Linked DNA regions of Struthio camelus. The protein of the gene in region 2 interacts with the protein of the main gene of each other region in a pairwise test. Links are inferred from orthologs where the notes say so. Each region holds a gene or a part of one and is shown on either strand. Other genes may lie near its edges.

What was found. The genes of interacting proteins can lie anywhere in the genome.
Region 1: the proteins of NTAQ1 (region 2) and FTH1 interact in a two-hybrid assay, tested with the Homo sapiens proteins (2 studies listed by BioGRID and IntAct). The two-hybrid records come from large-scale screens. The link is inferred for Struthio camelus from reciprocal best matches to the Homo sapiens genes NTAQ1 and FTH1.
Region 3: the proteins of NTAQ1 (region 2) and XIAP interact in binary tests that used the Homo sapiens proteins (3 or more experiments, as listed by UniProt). The two-hybrid records come from large-scale screens. The link is inferred for Struthio camelus from reciprocal best matches to the Homo sapiens genes NTAQ1 and XIAP.

Annotation. Positions count from the first base shown.
Region 1 is NC_090946.1:7,331,787-7,338,774, forward strand, and holds the start of FTH1 (ferritin heavy chain), read right to left. Parts: upstream 3,008-6,988; 5' UTR 2,799-3,007; coding exon 2,688-2,798; intron 933-2,687; coding exon 786-932; intron 1-785. UniProt on the Homo sapiens protein: Stores iron in a soluble, non-toxic, readily available form. Important for iron homeostasis. Has ferroxidase activity. Iron is taken up in the ferrous form and deposited as ferric hydroxides after oxidation. Also plays a role in delivery of iron to cells.
Region 2 is NC_090943.1:160,183,574-160,191,545, reverse strand, and holds the start of NTAQ1 (protein N-terminal glutamine amidohydrolase), read right to left. Parts: upstream 3,061-7,972; 5' UTR 2,531-3,060; coding exon 2,349-2,530; intron 2,233-2,348; exon of another isoform or gene 1,973-2,232; coding exon of another isoform or gene 1,899-1,972; intron 1,566-1,898; coding exon 1,466-1,565; intron 1,087-1,465; coding exon 1,036-1,086; intron 1-1,035. Other genes in the region: ATAD2 (ATPase family AAA domain-containing protein 2), read left to right, coding at 4,526-4,744. UniProt on the Homo sapiens protein: Mediates the side-chain deamidation of N-terminal glutamine residues to glutamate, an important step in N-end rule pathway of protein degradation.
Region 3 is NC_090952.1:11,059,569-11,066,528, forward strand, and holds the start of XIAP (E3 ubiquitin-protein ligase XIAP), read right to left. Parts: upstream 3,008-6,960; 5' UTR 2,993-3,007; coding exon 2,957-2,992; intron 1-2,956.

The DNA.
Region 1 (6,988 bases), on a different chromosome or scaffold from region 2:
AAATTCAGTTTAGTGAACTCCTGTAGTTAAGTCAGAACTACTGCCCTCCTCCTCCCATCAAAAGCTAACAGCCTAAACATCAACCTACCTAGGTAGGCAATGGGTACAATCTCAGAAATAAAGCAGGTTATACACCAGAACAGGGAAGTCTGGTCTTTACAAATACTCACTTCTAGCAAAAGGATTCTGCTGAAAACGTCTGTCAACTCACTCTGCCATTTTCCCCACGAAGAGTTAAGTCTTGCATAACAATATAACATTACTTTCTGCTGTTCTAAATAATCTAATTAAAGTGACTTCAAGGAAACAGTGCCATGAAGTCTTGCAATAAGCCATAGCAAGAAACTGGAAGCTTAATATGACTCTCTTGCCATGGGAACATGAAGTAAAGAGCATTGTCTCTACACAACAGTCTAGTGAACCGAGAAGGCCCTATCTTGAAGTCATTGGCAAGAACAAGGCAAGTAGTGTGTTACAGTTACCTTCCCCCTTCCTTCTTCCCTGCTCCTCCCTCCCCCCCCGGGGGGGGGGGGGGGCAAACTGCTGCAGGGTTAGGTGTATGCACCTCTTCTTACAGGAAAGCCCCTTTTTTTGTTTAGCATCTCTAGATTTTGAGCAGCTCAAACACTGCACACCAATCCCAGCAATTCAGTATTCTTAGTTACTGTTAGTGTTTTCCAGCAAGAGGATCCTCTGGGGGATTCCTCTCCTTCCAGCCTGAAGACAGACCTCAAGTCTAGCTCTGTGCTACAGTCCTGAAACACCCACAGCTCTATTTCTCTCACCTTGATGTCCTGCAAGAAGATGCGCCCGCCTCTCTGATTTTGCAGCTTCATCAGTTTCTCAGCATGCTCACGTTCCTCATGGGACTGGTGCAGAAAGTACTTAGCGAAGTTCTTTAGAGCCACATCATCACGGTCAAAATAGTAGGACTGAAAAGAAAAATTCACATGCTAAAAAACCAAACCCTCACTACAGCAGCCACACAAGCCCAAGTCAGTACTGCAGTTTCAGATATGCCTCCTACCAGCCCTTTATCAAGATGGCTGGAGTCCAAACTAAAGGTAGCAGCAGTGTGATGACAGCAAGGGACTGCGGCAAAACTTGCTTACTGAGGAAATGGAGACAAACTTTTCTTAAGTATATTCAGAAGGGGACCAAAGATGCCTGTTCTGAGCACCATTCAAATGCCTCAACACAGCAAATTAAGTGTAGCGCTACCAAGTTCCTCTTCTACAAGGAGAGATTCCCCCTGCTCCCTTTGTTTGTGTTCAACAGTGACCATGAGTCAGAGTTAGGATTCTTCAACACAAGCTAAAGGTGGCCTTTAAGATACTTCTGGGATAAGGTTCCCATGCCTCATCGGGCTTATGAGGCAACAGACTGAGAAATTCCCTTTTTACTTCTGAAGAAAGCTAGCAGCACTTTGAAAAGATAGTTGAACATGTATTTCGCCAGAGTTAAACAGCAAATACCAGACAAATCTTCAAGTCAAAAAGCATCTGTACCAGCAGTCAGAAGCCACCACACAGCTTGTTTGTTTTTTTTTGGTCAAAGCCATTGGGCAGGATTCAATGGAAAGCTTTGTATCAGCTGCCAGTTATTTACAAGACTAACTGCCACAGAATTCACCACCATTAGACCAGCGGCGTAGGAGCTTCAGGGAGAGACACTGGTGCCTGTGTACCACTATCACCCACCAACACAGTTACATTCAGCTTGCAGCTGAGGGTCTGACCTTCACAGTAACACAGAACCAAGCAAGCAGGGAAGTTATTCACCTGAATGCCCTAACATGCTGCAGCATCACTAGGAAGTGTCAGTGCTTTAGATGAGCAGGTGACTCGAGATTGCTGCACAGAGGTCAGAGCTGCTGTTTGGACTCAAAGTTATTTCTCTCAGCTATGGCTAAAACTGGAGTCTCGCACCAAGTGAGACATGCAAGTACAGCTCCAAGGAAACCATGGCTTCCTACTAATTCACTCCAAAACTACGAATGCAAAACCGTGCCTCGGAGGAGGGCGCCTGTGGGACAGGTGCCAATCTCTTCGTTAGGCAGCCCTCGCTATCCAGCCCAGCCCCAAGGGCAGAGCCGCTTGGCAGCGGCTGACCTGTGCTGATAACAGGTCAGCCAAGGGCGACCAACAGAGAGCGGTTAACGCGCAACCGAAGCTCGCCGCAGAGATAAGGGCACCAAAAAAAAACCACACACACCCCAAACAACGCACCACACGCGCAGGCAGCCAGCCGGCCCCCAGAGCGCCGGGGCACGCCCCGGGGAAGCGCCGCCCGGCGCACCGCGACCCCCCCACTCGGGCGGGCGGCCACGGAGATTTCCCCCCCCACCACCCCCCGCCTCGGCCACCGCCTCTTGCCGCAGGAGGGTGCGACATCACCACACACCCGCCACGGCGGCGGGCACCCAACGCTGGCCGGGCCCGGCTCGGCCTCCCCCGGACAAAAAAAGGGGCGCAACGCCTGGCCCACGGCGGGTATCGCACGGAGCGGGGATCCCGCACGCAACGGCCTTCCCCCCCCACCCCCGCTCCCATCCTCGGGGGAGGCCCCACACCCGGCAGGCCCGAAGGCCACGGGCGGGCCCAACCCCTCTCGCAGGGCCCCTCCCCCCTTCCTCTCACAGAGGGCCCCCGCCGGGCCGGCCCTCAGCCCCCTGCCCCGCCGCTCACCATGCTGAGGTACACGTAGGAGGCGTAGAGCTCCAGGTTGATCTGGCGGTTGATGGCCGCCTCGCAGTCCTGGTGGTAGTTCTGGCGCACTTGGGAAGGGGGCGTAGCCATGGCGCGGCCGGTTCCGTCCAAGCACTGTTGACGCAGGAACCCGCTCCGCTCAAGCCTCGCCGGCGCGTCTGAACCGCCGCTGCCCCCCGCGCCCCCCTTTTATAGCGCCCGCGCGCGTCATCTCGCGCGCCAGGCCCCGCCCCCCCCTCGCGCCGCGACGCACGCGCCCCCAGGAGCTGGGGGAGGCAGGGGCGGCACTAAGACGCCCCGCCCCCCGCCGCAGCCCCGCCCCTCTCCCTCCGCGCGCCGCCGTTCTGCTGGCCCGGCGTGACTCAGCACCTCCCCTGCTCCCCTCCCCTCCCCGCCCTCCCCCCACCACCTCGCGCCGCGGTGGGCGGGGCCCGCTGCCTCGCGGCTCGGGCAACGGTCGTGCAACGGCCGCGGGGGGCGACAGCCCTGTGGGCCGCCCGCCCTGTGGCGGGGGGGGGGAGGGGGGTGGCGGTTTCCCTCAGGGCGGGCTCCCGGCAGTAGGGGGGGGGGCGCAGGCCGAGGGTCGCCCCTCAGTAGCGTCACCTCGGCCCCCCGAAACCCGTGAAAGGCCCAAAACGCTGCGGTCCCGGTGCTATTTTTGGCTCCGTGGCCTAAACCGCCAGGCAGGACGGGCTGTCCCACCTCACGGGTGTTACCGCGTCGTTCCCCTCCCTGGGACAGGGTGACTGCCGAAATGGAGGTGGAAAGCTCGCTCAAAACCGAAAGGCTGAGGACAACTTTTCACTGGGTACATAAATACACGCCGGCATGGAGGGGAACAAAAATGGGCTGGAAGGAAAGAAGTCAGTTTATGGCGGGTTCCTTCCCTCCCGCCCCCCCCACCCAGCTTATTCTGAAGGTGGTAATTTGTACTGGAAAAGATTTTATTATAAAGTCCAGCTGGTTGTCAATGGCAGCGGGCAGCTTAGGCTTGTCACAGCAGTAAAACAGAAGGCGAGTCAATGGCTAGACCTGAGAAGTTTCCAGACTTCTTTCTTCGGTGACCGTGCCCTACTTTGGACAGCGGCCTAAAACTGCTCCGAAGGAACGTAAGAAACCATTAGGTAAAGGGCAAAGTCCTTGGTTAGCCTTAACGAGCCAACCCAACGGAAGAAAGAACAAATACTGGTGAAAGATGCCATCACCCTTCAAGGTGGTTCAAAGTTATCAACGGGCACCCGCAGCAATCATTGCTGAGTGGGTTTTTTTTTTATTTTTATTTTTTTTTGGAGGAGGAGGAAGCAGGCCAAGCATCGGCCCTCAGATGCTTGATTTGCATGAGGGTGAGACCTGGGAGAGGAGCCTACAGCCAGTTAAAACACAATGCCAAATAATAAAGAGGCAACTGAGAAATCAAAGGTCAAAAGGAACACACTGAGCCACCTGATAATAGGATCATTATTTTAGCTCCTTTCAGTATTACCATGATCATTCAGTTTGTGCGGTCATTTATTTTCAATAAACACTGGGTTCTTTTAGTTTCTGAGATTTTTTTTTTTCCAGAATTTCCTAGATTCAAGCAGGCTCTTGATTGTAAGTGCAACGTGGAGGGCTAGAGATGGCCCACTTAAAGGGAAATTGAGATAACACTGGGCTGCCAAAACTTCGGTCTTTACTAACAACAACAGCTGATGTTGAAATTCAGCAGAAATAGCCCAGGTATTGGCAACACTACTCACTGGACTGTCAATAATTAAATGCCATTTCTTCTTCTAACCAGTTCTTTCCATGTTTATTCAGTCTTTGAACAGCTCTTCCCGGTGACGCGTGATTTCCCACGGGCGACTGCACAGGGGTGCGCTTGCGTGGGAAGAGCTGCGCGGGACCTGTGTCAGCACAAAGGCAGTTTTAGAGGCGTTCCTGAATGTCCTAAGGAAACAGGCAGCCCATGTCTTCCTCTGCTTTACTGGTTTTCGTTGCTTCTGTCAGTTAAGCATCAAAAGCAATTAGATATATAACTTAAGGTGGATTATACCTATTGCTTTGGCAGGCTGCCGGGTACTTCTCACTTGAAATCTTATGTTCCCCTCCCAACTAGAAGCTTATGTAAATAAAATTTAAAAAAAAAAAAAAAAAGAAGTAACTGCTGGGCAGATCTCAGGCAGGCCTCTGTACTGGCAGTTCATTGAAAAAGTATGTTTCAGTATTCTAGCAAGACTAATACTGAAACTGTAAAGCACTAAACCATTTCTTAATTAAATTATGTTTGTGTTTGCTTCCCACTTAACTTTTTTGTCTGTGATTGACAAAGGCGCACGGGAACTCTCAGAAGGAAGTTGCCTGGTGGCTTACAAATTGCAAGCTATTGCTGTTTGGTTTTTTCAATCTCGTCATGGTCAAGCCCACATAAATCCTCACTACGCTGTTTTATGAAAGGCTGTGCAACAGCACAGTTTATAAGCGGTTGAGCGAGCAGTCCATCAATAAAAGGAACGTTTCCTCTGTCATTTGGACAGTCAGCGCCAGCCATGGCTAAACGTCAGGAAGACGAGGAATGTCCTACGTTCTGCTTTCTGGATCGATTGCACTGCACAAACATACACGCTGTCTTCAACGACGCAAAGCACGCCTGGCCAGAACAGGACACGTCGGGTGGTACGGCCATGCCTCATAATAGCTTGGTGACCAACATGAAGAGCGTCTGGTCCTACGAGACTTTAGCGTTAGCTTTGACAAGGACCTTTTCTGATGATTGTTCACTTGTTGACTTCCCCCAAACTACTGTCACATTGTGTTTAACTTGGACTTTGTTCCATACTGTTCTACTATGGCTTGGGTTGAGCCTTTCTACCTGAAGGATGTATTTATGAGCGTTCCTCGGAAGAAGCCTGCTAGAAGCATCATCGTAGTCAGGCTGGACCTCACATCAAATAACATTCACGTTCTGCAACTGCAAGATCATTCCCTACATCTGACAATGTTTTGCACCCTAGTCTCGTCCCCTACTACTTTCGGTAGCTACTAGTTAATTACAACCCCTGAGCGTTATTCATTAAACTGTTCAGAATTAGTGGGGGATCCTGGCTTTTCTCGTTCAAATCCAAAAGATTAAAGATCTCAGTGTATACAGGAAAAAAGAGACTGGTAGTCCCAACTAGTTCTTTCAGTACGCTTTCCCACACAAACGTCGCAGCTGCGCAGGGCCTGATCTATCCTCTCAGCAGTCTGCACCCGCAGCCTTACTTTGAATTCATGTCCACTCTCAGCTGCTTCTAGAGGCTGGCGCTGCTGCTCGGTCGGGCTGGAGTAGAGGCATGCTTCGTGCTGCCCACAGGCAAAAGTCAACGCATTGTCCGCCTACAGGGGCTCCAAATTGTTGAAGGCGATCTCTGTTTTCCTTTGGCCGAGATCCCATCAGAAACAATGGAGCCAGCTCCCTTGTTTACAGCTCAGCTATTACGTGTAGAGCACAGACCTGAACACTAGGCATTTCAGGGACAGTAACGCTTAGCTTCCTCACATGACAGCTGGAGAGATCATTTTAAGTGTGCAAAATAACCTCAGCTTCTCTGATGAATGTTTGCATAGACATACAGGAGATTATTAAGTCCGAGAACTGGTTGACATTGCTCAGGATATACCTAGATGCAGAAAAAAACCACCAAGGCTCTGTTTGCACACACCTCTCAGCACTGGGTGTTGCGGTAGCAGAAAGAGCGAGAGCCCCAGACAGGGGCCGAGAGTAACCGGCTGTTAGTTTGGGAGCTCAGGGTCGTTTCTGAAGAGGACACGATACGTACTTGGGCAGACAGAGCTGTGCATAGCACCATGCAGCAAGAGCACTTGAAGGTGGCACAGACTTTGCACAGGGTAAGACCTAGGAAAAGCTGTGAAAAAGGGAAAGTTTCCGTGACTGCTAAATCTACTTTAGATGTAATTCATCCTGACTCTACCTGGGCCCTCCTCGTACATGACCTATCCAAATTCTGGCAGTGGTCTGACTGTGGGCTGAAAACATGATTTTTAAACAGATGCTGGACAACATTTGCAGAAAGCAAACTCTGAACTTGTAAAAATGGAAGCCAGATTTGTGCTGATATAGTCGGGATGAGCGCTCTCAGCTCATCTTCTGCACAGCAGCCGTCCCCAGGAAGTGGCAAGGGCACAAAAATTTTCTGAAAGTCCAAGCGTGGTCTCAGTCCTGCTCCAATTGAGTTACTGCATCACCATTGCTTTAGGAAACATTATGTACTAGCAGCTGTCTCAAACGCTGCTTTTAA
Region 2 (7,972 bases):
GATCTAGAACTGTACGCAACAACAATATTTAGAAGTGTATTTTATAGAGTGTAATAAAAATGAGCTTGAAGCTGTGAAAATTCTGCAAGCTATTAAAACATCAAAGGAAAAATAGCTTTCAAGCTATACATTTAAATGGGAAATTAACATTTTGCAGCGGCCTCTCCTGACTCTCCTATCTCCTATTTCATCATAGGTCTGCTTCATAACATTTCGGGCCTCTTTTTAAACTAAACCTTTTTTTGCTTTATAAGTATACCAACGTCTTGGGAGTCTGCTAAACCATTTGAAGAGTAATTCATTCTCTCCCAAGTACTTTGTCACTTTTTCCCAAACAAATCCTTCCCATTCTTGTGTGATAAGTGTCACATCTCTAAAAGTGTTGGGATCTGTAGCATAAATTCCAACTTAATCTTCATTTCCTGAAACACAGAAATCACCACACCAAACTAGAAGAATGTTTTTTCAGTACTGGGTAACTGAAAGAACTCTGTAATGATCCACATTTAAAAGGAATTCTATAATGGCAATTACTAAACTACTGAATTACTGTTCATTGCAAATGACGTTCTAAAGCCAGCACTTGCAGTAAATTTACATGCAGACTCCTGAAGACATGTATTGCTTGTCTTTTTCTATGCTATGTCAAGCGTATGTAGATATTTTCATTCATCTACGTCTTAAAAGAATATACATCTATTTCTTAAAATTCTACAAAGTTGGTGGCTTCAGAAGTATATACACAGTAATTTTCACAGATTTGTTATGCATTCTTACCAATGTTTGCCATGCGTCAATTTTACTGACTGCTTCATTGTTACTGCACTACAGGCAGTGAAAGAGAGAGCCAGACTTACAATGTTTACGTATCCGTTGTAGAAGAAGAATAAATACTAGTATTGTGTTGTTAATATAGAACTGCAGTTTGTTAAAGATATGGCTAACACTGCCCATGTCTGATTTTGCAGACGCCAATTAGGGAAGCATATATTAACAAAACCCTAAAAAGAACACAAAAAGCACAAAATACTTTACCCAGACGACAGGATCATCTCCACGTCCCGATTTTTGCTTCCATAGGGGAATCTGAAAGTCATAAAATACTTTGACTGAAGATTAACACAAGTAGTAGTTTGCCAGCGAACCCATTTCATTAGCTTACATCTGTCCTGCAACGAGAAAAAACTTGCCCAGTGTCGCTCTTTTAGCGGCACTAAGCTGCAGATAGTGTTCTGGACCACGTAACGTACTCATTCTCCTAAACCAGGAGGTTACAGGGAAGATGCATTGCATTTTGGGTTGCCCCAAAACGCATCGGATAGCCATGGGATCGATCGCCTGTGCGGCGGCCTGCAGGTCCCGCACGGGGGGGACACCGCACAGGGGGACCCCGGGGCCTTTCTGGCTGCAGGGCCGAGGCCGGAGCTGCTCCACGGCTGCCTTTAACCACGACGCGCCGACTCACCATCCTCCTGTCATTGGATATGAAGACAGCGTAAAACTCTTCCAGAGGGTATTGATCCCGACTCCTGATGTAGTCGCACAGCTTCCAAACGTTTTCTTCGCTGTAAAAGACAAGGGTTGGTTTGGGGGTTTTGTTTTGTTTGTCCCCTCTCCTGCTCGCAGTCTCGTTTCTAGTAAGGAGCGCTAAGCCAAGCACTGATGTCTGCCGAAAGCCTCCCGGCTCGGGCTCGGGTCTCCCGCCTGCCTGCAGCGCGGCCCGCGGCCCCGACGGCGCCCCCCGCCTCCCTTCCTCCGTGATGCTACGCAAAACCTCCAAGCTGGTTTTGCTTCTTCTTCTTCTTCTTTTTTTTTTTTTTAAACAAAAGGCCGAGCCCGGGGCTGCCGCTCGGCTCTGCGGCGCGGGGAGCACCGCGGCGGCGGCCGCCCCCCCTTACCAGTAGCAGCTGGTGTAGGCGCAGGCGGGCCGGGGGGGCACCGCCGCCTCATAAGCGGCCGCCGGCCGCGCCATGGGCGGCCTTAGCCGGCCGCAGCGGTGCTCTGGCGGGGCGGCGGCGCAGCATGGCCGGCGGCACGGCGCGGCTCAGGAAGTGCTGGCGGCAGCGGCGGCGGGGGAGTTACCGGCTATGGCTTCCGCGAGGAAACGCGGCTGCTCGGCAGCGAGGGGGCGGCCGGCCGGCCCGCGCCGGTAGGGAAAGCGCCCTACCGCCGCCATCTTAGCGCCCCCCCGCAGGGCGCTTCCCGCCGAGCCGGGAATAACGGGCGTAACATGGCGGGCAGGCCCCCGGGAGCGGTAAAAGCGAGTGTCAGGCGAGAGCAAGAGGGGATTTTTATCGTCCTGGGGGCTGGCAGGGAGCACAGACAGGGTCGCGGCTGCCTGAACTCACCAGATAAACGTTAATGCTGGATGCAGGTGCTTGGTGTGGCCTTCTGTCCCCTTTTTGGCTGCAAGTGGAAAGGGGTTTTTGAACAACAGGCTGACCTTGGAGGCTGGTGGGTGGCAGTCTGGCCTACCGAGGAGCTCCTCGTGCTTTTCTGTCCTGTGCCAGGGGTATGTGGATGTTTTCATCCCTCTGCTCCTTGCAAATACAAAGCTCTTGCGTCCAAGGCAAGTAGAAAAACTGAGAAACACTCAGGGGTTGCTTAAAGTGGGGCAAAATGGGTCAGCCTTTCATGAAACGTTCATGTGACAGCTTTGGGGGAGTGCTGGAAACAGGTAACGCTTAGAAATGGGGAGAGCCAAAAAGGCAGAAGCAAGGGAGCTTGCTGGCATCACTGCCTCTGCCTGCATGGACTGACTGTGTAAGTACTGCTAACGCCTTTGACCCAGCGAAGGGAATTTTCCTGTGCCCAAATGCATAGCGGCCCTCTCTCTGCTGTTTTGTGCTTTGGATCTTGCCTAAGCACAGGTGATTCCTGCAAAACATCTGTTCTGCAAAATACAAGTTGACGTTAATAGGAGGGCTCCTACAGGGAGGAGGGAAAGTGAGAGAAGTAACTTGCTGTTTGCAGGGTAACAAAGCAAGCGCACCTCCCCAGTGCGTTTTGAGTCTTCAGGTTACTTGATCCATTTCTGTTTTCTGCTGTTTCAGGTGCAGCTTCTGTACAGTGCATGTTTTTCAGGCACGCTCGGACCACCTCGAGCTTCTGCAACGTCTTTTTGTGCCGGTGAATGGCCTGAACATACACTGCTTTTTGCTCTATTAGACCCTGTGCACTGCCGAATGTCAGCTTTTGTTCTCTGCTTACAAAACACTTCTGTGCAGATAAGCCTAGGGTGATTCACCCAGTAGGTGAAGATAATGCTGTCTCCAGGGAAGGTGCCGGAAAGCTTGAGGTTTTGAGGTTTGATTCGTATTTTGTTAGCATTTTTTTTCTTTTCCAAACATGATGCTCCTGAAAAGCTGTCTTCGTGTGATAATCTCTCATTCTGATGAAAAAACTCTGGTGTAGAAGGTTTTAATAACTGGAAGTCAGTTATCATCTCTGTACCAACCAATTAGAAAGCAAACGTGCATGCATTTTAAAGCAAATATGTGGAAGAAAACACTTCTTTACTGTGGGGGTGGTCAAACACTGGGGTGTGTTGCCCAGAGAGATTGCGGGGTCTCCATCTTTGGAGACGGTCAGAAGCTGACTGGACGCAGCCCTGGGTGACCTGCGCTAGGTGACCCTGCTTGAGCAGGGGGCTGGACTGCAGACTCCAGAGGTGCTCTGCAACCTCAGCTGTTCTGTGCATTTTGGTATTGAATGATTGCCTTAAGCCTTTACTGTTGTTTTTTTTTTTTCCTTTAGTAGGAGGAGGAAAACAAAATGGGGGCGTTTTCCCTGTTAAATACAACTTCAGCATTGACAGTTTGGAGTAACACTGGCTTTGGATATGTGGTAGGCCATGTAGCGCTGCCCTGCCCTACTAGGGTCCCAAAGAGTTAGGGACCGGAGTTTCCTAAACTAGGAACCTGCAGTCATCCTACGGCTTTTCCAGGGAGATCTTTGAGCGTGTCGGAACAGAAAACCCGAGGTCGGGCCAGGGGCGCTGCAGCCGTCCGCCCTGCGCGCCTGAGGTGCGGGCGCCTTTAAGAGACTGCGCTGAGAGAGCCGGCCTTCCCCGCCCCCGCCCGGCGGGAAGCAGCGGCGGCGGGGGGGGGCGGGCCCCGCGCGCGCCTCCCAGCCAATCGGGCTCCGGCAAAACAACCTGCTTCGACTTTCACGCGCCAAAAATATCAAAAGGCCGCGGCGCGAGCTGTGCCCCTCCGCCATCGGGGCCGGGACTAGCTGCCGGAGAGAAAAGAGGCCGCGGGGAAGGCGGGGCGGAGCGCTCTCCGCCGGGCCAGGCCGGGCTAGGCGGGGGCGGGCAGGGCAGGGGGGCGGTGACGGCGGGGAGCCGCGCTCGCCGGCGGTGCGGCACAGCGGCAGGGAAGGGCAGGGGGGACGCGGCGGAGGGATCCGAGGGGAGGGCGGCGATCGCGGCGGCGCGCGGGCTGTGGCGCCAGAATTCGGAGCGGCGCCGCGCGACCCCAGGGCCGCCTCGCGCCGCGCCCGGCCCGGCCCGGCCCGGCCCGCCATGGTGGTCCTGCGGAGCAGCGGCGCTCAGCGGCCCGGCCCCGCGGCGCGCGACGGCGGCGGCCGCCGCCGCCGCCGCCCGCCCTTCGACCTCATGGACTCCAGCTCCGAGTTCCTCTCCCTGGAGTCTCCCCCGCTCGGCGGCCGCCGCGCCTGGACGCGCTCGGGGGCCGCCCAAGGACCCAAGGGCGCCGGGGGGGCGGCGAGAGCGGCGGAGGAGGTGAGGGCGTGGGCGGAGGGGGGGGGCAGGGCTGGCCGCTGGGGAGGCCTCGGGCTTGGAGCGGGGGCCGCCCCGGTGGAGGTGGCCGTTGGCTGGGCTGAGGCAGCCGCGCGAGCGGGTCCCGGGGCAGGGCCGGGCCGGGGAGGGCGTTGTGCTCGGCAGGCTTTGAACCCGCGGGCGCCATTGAGGCAAAGGGGGCAGTCAAGGCCCCGCCGCTTGCCCGAGTGTGGCCAGGTGGTGCTGTGCGCTCGGCTCTGCGGTGTAGGCCGCAAAGAACACGTCTGCGAGCCTGGGACTGCCTCCTGTGCGTCCCTCCAGAGGTAACCGAGCTTGTCATCCATCCCTCTCTATCGGTGGTAGAAGTAGAGCTCTTCCACTGTGTAGGCAGTATAGAAGCACCGGAGATAGGGGTCTCGTGAACGGGGGAGGGGGGAGGAGGGGAAGAGTACTTAAGGTAAGGTCGTATAACGATTGAGTTGCTGTATATGAAAAAGTTACTCCGTGTCTGCAAAGCCACAATAAGAACTGCTTTTTGCAGCTTCCGAATGCAAAATGTATCAGTTTCGGTCTCTAAAATTGATTTATTTTTGCTTTGAAAGGAGGGGAACTTGATGCAACCCACCGCTGGCCTGGGATACTAGTGATAGCTTGCTAAAAGACAGTAATTTGGTTGCCTGCAGCTGTGTGAACAGGTGTTTTTGCATCCCCTTAGAATTTGGTATGGTGCCTTTATTTCCTATTCCTAGGTTATTTCGATTAAATTTGTTACCTAAAAAATCATCTTGGAAAGAGCTTGGAAATGTTTTTACTTCAAGATCATCGAGGTGAAGTTTATAGGGAGGGTGCTTATTGTTTGGATGGCATACGTGCATCAAATATAATGTTTGACACAAAATATATTTTATTTGTAACTGCACTCGAGCTGAATATCTGAAGTGCCTGTGAGATATGCTCCAATGAAATATATATAGTTACCGCTTTGGATGCTTTTAAAACAAAGCTGTGTTTAAGAATCAGGGTTACTTTGTACTTAATTAAAGTGCTTATTTGCGTAACCTAAAATAGTGAAAATTCTGCTTATTTTTGTTAATAACCTAGGGCAAGATGCTAGGAGAAGAAGTCTCAACGTGCACCATTTTAAACCAGATTAAGTACTCCGTGCTGTCTGCATCTCAGTGTTGCTACTATTCATAAGTGAACAATTTCACTTTGAGAAGTTTATTGCTTTTTAATGTAGCTTTCAAAAGCTGCGAATCTTCCCTGGTCTTTCCAAGTCAGGCTGTTCTCAGTGGGGTATTCCTCATTTCCATGGCAACTAAGGGCAGACCAGGTCTAAGTCAAAACTTTGGTCTGATCTTCAGGGCAGCCCTGCCTTGAAGTGATGCTTGTTGTGCACTCTGTTTCCTTATAGCAGAACTATTCCAGGATTTGTGGTTGGTTTTTTTTTTTGTTTTTTTTTTTTTTTAACGTTTGCTGAGCTAGGAAGGAAGAAATCCTTGGGGTGCTTTTTTCTTTAAGCAGATTCCATATCTGCTTACAAAGATTGCTACTTTGTTTTTGCGGTGTATGCTAAAAATGGTTGTCAAAGACAAGGAATTCTGTTGCAGGTGGGGGAAGGCTACACAGGCAAAGAAAGCAGCTGGCACACGTTTTCAGTACCTGGAGAACAGGAATGAGGAAGTTAAATGTAAACTTTTTACTAAAACCAAAGCAGAATGATTACTGATCATTGCAATTGGTTGTAAGATTTTTCCTTCTTTCCTTTTTTCCCTCCTCTTTTTCATAGACCTTTCCTATGTTTCAAGTTATGGAATCCTTTTTGCTTCCTTTGTAGGTCAGTGAGGCTTTGCTGGAGCGTTCTAATTGCAGAGACAATGTAGGGTTGCCCTAGATGACAAAGATGATGATCCTGGTCTTGGCTGCGTGCTCAAAAGTCTTAATTTATCTTCCTTACTTGTTGATGTGCAAGGACTTGCTGGCAGCAGCTCTTGCAGGTTTTCTGATACCAGGGAGCTATTCAGGTTATTTCACCCGTATGGAGTATGCAGCGTATGGTAGAAAGACTGTTAAACTGAACAAGAATCTGATGGGTTATATTCTCTCCTGTTTCCGGTCCCAAGGAAGATAACAGGTGGCAGTTGTCCCTTTGGAAGCTGTGTATCTACAGGTTTTAACCCTGGTGTAATTACCCGGGCTGAACAATGTTGTACGGTGACCTGTACTTGAGGCCTGTGTGCTCGAGTTCCCTTTTGCCTGAACAAAGCAAAACTTGCACTTGGGCAGGCTGAGTCTTCCTTGACCCCTCTCTGTAGAGACTTCAGCACTAGAGTTCACAGCCTTGTAGCCTAAGCATATTTACGTGATGGCGCTTTGACGTGTAGTTTACTTCCTTAGAGATATGAGATAGCTGCATGCAGTTTTTGTAAGAAGTCTTTTAAAAAGCAATTGTTAATCACTTCATGTGGCACGAGGAAAGTAACAACTACTTTCAAAGTTAGAAATACTTTTCAAAATCCCTTTTTTCAGTTTCCTTATGTTTTAGATTTAGCCTTATTCTTCTATTTGATCTCACTTTTTGAGTGCTCCCCTCCTCTGCCCCCCACCCCCACCCCAGCCTGATCTGGCTGATAAGAGCCTGTTACTATTGCTCTGCTGACAGCCTGCTGGAGTTACTCTGGTGTTCTTGGTGTTTACAACCTCATTGAAATGGGATGCCATCCATATGAATGGAAGACAGTCAGAGTTAGCAATATCCACTGTTTCTGCTTTGGCTGTATCCTTTTAATTTGAGTCAAGATGAAGACAGCACAGAAGATAAATATAACAAGTAATTGTATTGTGGACAGAGACTTAATTTAAAAAAAAAAAAATAACAACACACAGAAAGTCATTATACTGCTTTATCTAACCTGTATGGTGACGTCTTCCGAGTGTTCATTCTTCCTTTTAACTGGGCTTTGGCCCGGAGGTTTAAAGGAACATATTACTTGTCATTATCTGTTCGCTTGTATTGCAAATTTTTCACGTTGTTAAGACTTCTCCCAAAGAATATTTACTTCTGGGTCAATGAAGGATAAATATCCAAAGCAATAGTTGTAAGTTGCGAAATATCCAAAGCAATAGTTACAGGTTGCGTGTCTTGGAGTTTAAGTAAGCTGAATCTTCTGGAGTTGCTCCCAAATTTGGAGTCTAACTTGACAGGTGATTATATATTGATAAATAAAACCC
Region 3 (6,960 bases), on a different chromosome or scaffold from region 2:
ATAGGTAATATGAAAGCACAGGTAGTGCTACCTATTAAGTTTGCCAAAGACTTGTCTTTTCCAGACTGCTTTTTCTGTAGCTATTAAACCTGTCAAATTTCATATATCCGGACCAGAATTTCCCAAGTCAGATAGATGCCTCAGGCTATTTTCTTCAGTAGTTGTAACCAAAATCATTTAATCATTTCCAAGACTAAGACTGTTGTTTTGCAATATTAAAACATTCCATTAACTTTTTTTTTTCAGAAACTCGATTGCCCTCATGGTTGATGCAGCAAATTTAATGTAGCCAAAATAGTTGGCTTTATGTAGGAGACATACTTTCTGCTATCCTCAACAAAAGCCAACTAATTTGAGAAATGTTCTCACACTTTGGTGCTTTCCCATCGTGCATACACTCAGTAGAGACTTAATTTTAACTTTTGTATCTTATGCCTCTGAAGATTTAGGGCAGAGCGACTGGGAAAAATTCAGAGGCAATGAATCTAATTACATAACATGCAAGAATGCCTCGCGATTCCAGGGCTTAGACCGAAAGCCCTTTTGGATAGGGATTGTTTCTCACTTCATGTTGTCCAGCATTAACTGAGAGACCCCAATTTTGCTTGAAGCTTCCAGTTACTACAAGTAACAACAGTAACTTCCGTTATTATAAGTAATGAAATCTTAGCAGAATCCTTTTGGTTAGTTAGAAAAAATCATAATGAGTATTCAGTAATCAGTAACAGTATAAAATTTGCTTTGATAAGACTTCTGGTCCAGAAAAAGAATAACCCCAAAACTAAAATATTACATTTACTGATAGTAGCCTAATGGTAATTCTGAGCCTATAAGAAAGAAAGAAACAAAGAGAAAAAGAAAGAAAGAGGGAAAGAAAAAAGAAAGAGAAGAAAAGGAAAGAAAGGAAAGAAGGAAGAAATGGAAGGAAAGGAAGGAAGGGAAAGAAAGGAAGAACAGAAGGAAGAGAAGGAAGGAAGAAAGAAAGGAAGAAAGAAAAAGAAAAAAAAGAAAAAGAAAAAGACTTCCCTGGACTAAAGGAAAAAATGGTTCAAAAGGTCTGAGGCTGTACTCATAAAAACAATCACGTAAGATATTACTGCTGATAGATTCTAGTTAACATTTCTCTATTAAGACAAAAATTTGATCGCAGTCCTATAAACTTTTTGTAGTTTGATACTGCAAAGATGTGCAAAGTTTGCATAATTTTAGGCAAAGTAATCTATTTAGCTTACAATATAACTGAAGTCTTGTAGTTCTAACATTTCTTGTTCTGCAAAAATAAAATTTACAGTGGTTCTTGAAAATAATTGCATCATTAGACCTGACTCTATATTTTTGTCATCCAGTGAGGTTACCATGGCACACAGTCCCTGATGAGAATAAATAATTTTTACAGTCCCCTAATTTTAATCTTTTGGCTTCTTCTAAGGGCTTTGGCACTTTTCTTAATTTGAAATCTTCAGAGTCATCTGTATAGAGTAAAAACAAGAAATGGAGTGATTTTTAAACAAGAAAACCACCTGTACTGAAAACGCAGGTCACTGTTCTGGGAAATACTATAAAATATAAGTATTTCAGGGATTTCTTTAATATAAATAGAAATGACCCCAAGAAATATTCTAGGAAAAAGATTGCTTTAGACACACAATTGTGTGAAAATTTATAAAGCACACCTCTTAAATAGTTTAAATCTCTCTCTCTTCTATAATGTATGCACATACCATTTTTATTTTTCATTTGTACTCTGTACTTCCTTAAAATAAATCAAACAAGAGTAAAAGGCTCAAGCATTGCAGGCACTATTTGCGCAAGCCAGACATAACTTGGTTACCTAAAAAATTCTGGTATGATAATCATACACAGTCACCTATCTGCTAAACAGTTCTATTTCAGTAGTAGAAATTCACATCAATCGAAACTCACCTCACATCAGTCCAAAGTAAGGTTATTTCATGATCTTTGATATATTATGACACAGTAAGATATTAGTACCTTAATATTGCAATGTGAACATGAATATTTAGTCTTATAAATATCCTTGTCATGCCTCATTGGTAATAGTTTTATCAGCAATGATTTTCACAAATGTCACTGCTTTGCTGAGGTTTTCATACTTTTCTGAACAAAACAGATTGTTTTAGAGGTCACAAGGTGCTTTTACTGTGGCCCATTTACAGGTTTTGATCTCTAAATCAAAGCCTAAAAAAAAAAAGAAAAACTGTAACATGAGTAACTAGAAGAATTGGAAGATAAGAAATCATAATGGAAAAAAAAAATTCCACAATAAAGACAGTAATGCTCCTAAAATGTTTATTTTCTATGAAAGCTAGTTGTTTTCTGGTAAGTTTAACCAACTTAAATTTTAGTTTGAAGTAAAATTTCAAATTAGTCAACTGCACTGTAGGCCAAAACTAGTAATGCCTTTGGCAACCTAACAACATTAGAACTAATAGTATTAAGGTACTTTTCACTGTAGATGAAATTGTAAAATGTTAGCTTTGGCCTACAGTACAATTTACTGACTTTCTATAGCGGTAGTCTCATTGGGCTTTTTTGCATGGTTTTTTGACTAGAGAGTAATTCCAGTTGTCCTTAGATTAGTTTATTTATCTTTGTCTTACTCTTGTATTTTACTCTGAGATGAATTGAGAAAAAAAGAATTGAAATTTTACAGATATGAAAATAACTTTTAGTGAGATAAAGAAAATCTTCTTACGGTGTGGCCATGTATGGCTGCCCTAGGTACCTGCATGCTGACCATATAGGTTTTTTTTTTTTTTTAGCCCATATGCAATTTATGCCATGGATAAGTGACAAAACAAGCAAGTTAGGTTGAAAATTGGATGCTATGTAGCATAAATGGTGATACCTTACATACTGTTCTCCCAAACCCAGTTTTGCACATCACAATGGGATATTACTGGCTCATTTACTCCGTATCAGGGAAGTAACTTACATTAGGTATTATTGCATTAAGGTTGATGTTATTCATCCTCTTGTTTAAATTGATGTTCTTCATTGAAAATCCCATTTAAAAAAGGTACCTGCAAGGCAAATGAGGAATCTCAAGGTGGATCTGCAAATGGTGGTTTTGGCTGGATCTTATTTGAAGAGGTATGTTTGCTTAATGAAGGAGTAATGCTTAGATACAGAAAGAGGAAAAGGAGCACCACTGCATGTGCTTGACCCTAAGGGAAGTCCAATAGGTGTTTTTGGGGGGATTTTATGCTAATTGAAAAAGATTTGAAGCCCTAACTAAAAAGATTCTTTGGATTTTGATTTCTGCTTGTTATTTGTTCCTCATGAACATGAACATTTTGTAATGTGGACAACTATGGCTGTTGGGAATGCTACAGATCATTTCATGTAAAGATGACCCAATATCCTCTGGGGAGAGAGGAAGTTGATAACATTTCTAGACTAATTTGATGTATCTTTAACTAACATTACTAGTAAAAAATACATTAAAATTCCTTTTAAAATTACTATTATAAATCCTTAAATAAATTATTTTGGAACAATGTGGAGAATTTTAATGAAATGTTACACAACTTTATGAAATTCAACAAGGACAAACGCTGTTAAGGTGGGGGCAATGCCTGGGCTCTCAGCAGGGACAGATACACAAACTCAAGAACACTATGGCCAATACTGAGTGTTTATTACCTCTACACCTAAGCAGAGGTTCCCCAACAATTTCCTGATCAAGGCATTAATGGAGCAGGAGAGTCCTTGGCACCGCCGAGTGTCGGTCCAAGGCAAGGAACCCCGGGGGGGCACTACATGAGTTTTTATGGACTACATACATGCACAATAAGCATAGTGAGCTCATCGCAAATCTCAATTCAAAGCCTAGGTGTAGCGCCACACTGGCATGGGCTCAGCTGCCTGACTATGGGTCAGCATGCCCTGAAGAAACTCCTTTTCCCATGGAACGGTCTGGCTGGCTTCCATTGCCTATCTCCTCAACATTCTTCCACATTTACCTGTACAAATGCAAACTCCCGCACCTGGAAAGGAACAACCCCTTGCAACAATACACACTGGGGACTGACTGCCTGGAGAGCAACTCTGCTGAAAAGGACCCGGGATCTTGGTAGACAGCAGTGGACATGAGCCAGCAGCATCCCCTGGCAGCAAAGAAGGCCAGCAGCACCCTGGGCTGTACAAACAGGAGCAGAGCACCTACTGATCGAGAGAAGTGATCACCCCCCTTCACTCAGCACTCATTAGACCACATCTAGAAGACTGCATCCAGTGTTGGGGCCCCAAGTACAAGGAAGGTGTCGATCAACTGGACTGAGGTCAGCGCTCCTGGACCAGCAGGATGGTTGGGGGTGGCCAAGGGAATGGCACTTGGCCTGGAGAAGAGATGGCTTTGAGGGGATCTAAAAGCAGCCTTCCAATACCTGTAAGGAGGTTGCCAAGGAAGCAGAGCCAGGCTCTTCGCAGCACTGCATGGTGGAAGGATAAGAGCCAATGGACATAACTTGAAACCACAGGTTCCTACTGGGTATAAGGAAAAGATTTTCACCATGAGGACAGTCGAACAGTCTCCATCCTTGAAAGCTTTCATGACCAGACTGGATAAAGACCGATCTGATCTCATGGCTGACCCTGCGGAAGGCTAGATTAGATGATCTTCTAAGGTCTCCTCCAACCTGAGCTATTCTATGATTTTAAAACACAACAAATTATTGAAAACTGAAAAATCAAATAATACCAGACACTAACCTCTTTGAAATATTGTTTTTAACACAATCATGTTACAGATTTTAATTAGCTTGAAGCTTTTCGAGTCAGATAAATATAAATTAGACTTAGCAAACAGTTCATTGACATGAAGCTTTTGATCAATAATGGGTCATGAGTCATGGAGGTTCATATGGGAATCTCTGTTTGTTGACGTATTCGCCAAGAAATTAATGCAACTTCTTATTCCCTACTAATCCCATTGACATAGGCATTGTAAAGCCCATTGTGATTGTGATGACCCTAAAATGCTAACATTAATTGGTCCATTACCATCAGGTTAATGAACAGAGTGAAAAAAGCTGTGCAATGCAGAGCTAGAATTTCAGAGATGTAGTAGAGAAAGAAAATCAATCAAACAAAAAAATGGAGACAAGCATGAGAGAAACAGTAAAAGAACGATGGAGAAAGGAAAGGTCCAAATGACAGAACGGTGGCATGACATGAAACATTTTCTCATGAGTATGACAATAAAAAATTGTCTGTTTTACCCATGCATTCAATGTTTCTGCTGCCCCAGGAGGAAGAGATGCAGTGGTTTGATGGGAACACAAAAGCTTTGCATTTTTATGCTGTTCCACAGAAAATCAAATCTGACTCTCTCTTCCAGATGAGTTTGAATGGGACAACAGAAAGAAGAGGAACGCTATGGTTGACAAGCATCTCCCTTTTATTTGATCACTGTGGTCATTCATTCTTCCCACATGTCTTGTTGATGATGTCCAAAAATTGTTTTATGTGGGGGAAACTCAAGAGGGTTGTCCAGATCTTAGCAGGCAAACTTTCCTGTAATTCACAAATCCTTTGCCTCATAGGTAGAAGGTTAAAAGAGATAGTCGCATATCAAAGGCAGGTGTATTTTATACATACATACATACATATATATATATATATATATATATATATAGACTTTGAACTCTAGTTGGAATCAAAATACCGGAAGAAGAAGAAAAAGCAGAACAGAAAAACAATGGACAAAGTGCTACCAGAGTACTTTCTAGTTTGGGACCAAGAATGAGGGATCACGGTTGACAGTTTCAGAAGTAGCTTATTTGAGTGCCTGATGGTCTGCAAACCCCAAGCTTAGGAATTCAGGTTTTCTCTTACATGATTATCATTAGTCACAGACACACTTCCCTGTTAACATACTTGATATCTGGGGTACACAACCCAAGTGAGTGTGTGGACCATGCTGATAATGTCTTATCAGCTTTAGGATTTACCTTCAAACCTTCATATTCTCTTGATGCACTAGTACTCTTACCTCCCACAATAAAATGGCATGAGGTAACTGTGTCCCAACTTTTACTTCCTCGTACGTGTCACTGGGTAAGTGCCTGTGAACTTCAGTAACAGTCAACCCAGTCAGCTACCGCAAGCTGCAGTTACTGCCCATCCACTGATAAGCAGTCTGTTGTTTGCAGACTTTGCCTCCCTATCCTTCCTGTATCATCAATACCCAGCCAACCCTGAGAAGATGCTACAGTCATCTGGAGTTTTCTCTGGACACATCCCAGACAAGAGATGGGCAAAAGCACAAACTGTAAGCGACCGCTTCCTTGCAGATGCTTAGACACCAGCAAATGCTGCCTGGCTCTCCTACCACCAAATGGCCACTGCCACAGAGCTGCTCTGCCGGACCCTTCATACACACAACTGCAGACTAGTTATGTGCTGAAGTCAGCAAATGAATTTTGTCAGCAAAGTGCAGTTAAGTCAAATACAATTTATTGTGGGATGTATGTAACCCAAAAGCCATAATGATGGAGGCCTGTCCTGAAGACTATCCAACTATTCTGACTCATTGCATGAGCTGTGAGCAAGTTCAGGAATACCTGCTTTACAAGTTGTACTCTACCTTTCTGCATTAGTGAACTCAGGTAATGCTGCAAGTCTCTAAATTGCACTGCCAGTGAACCTGTCACTGCTCACCTTATAAAACATGCAAAATTCCTAGTTTTGTTCATATTTTCACACATACTTTGATATAGCACTTGCTAGGAAGGTGTAGGCACCAGAAAAGAAAAAAAAAGCTTCTTAATAGCATTCATCATTTTTCCATTGTGCCTCCATTCTTGAAGGCAGGCAAAGGGGAATCATTATTGCTCTTAATGGTTGCAGCACAGGCTTGGAGCATAGTGCCTCAAAACAGCTCGTGTCTCCATCCTTCAAATAACTCACATCAGTAACTGACTTGCAGACCTCCAC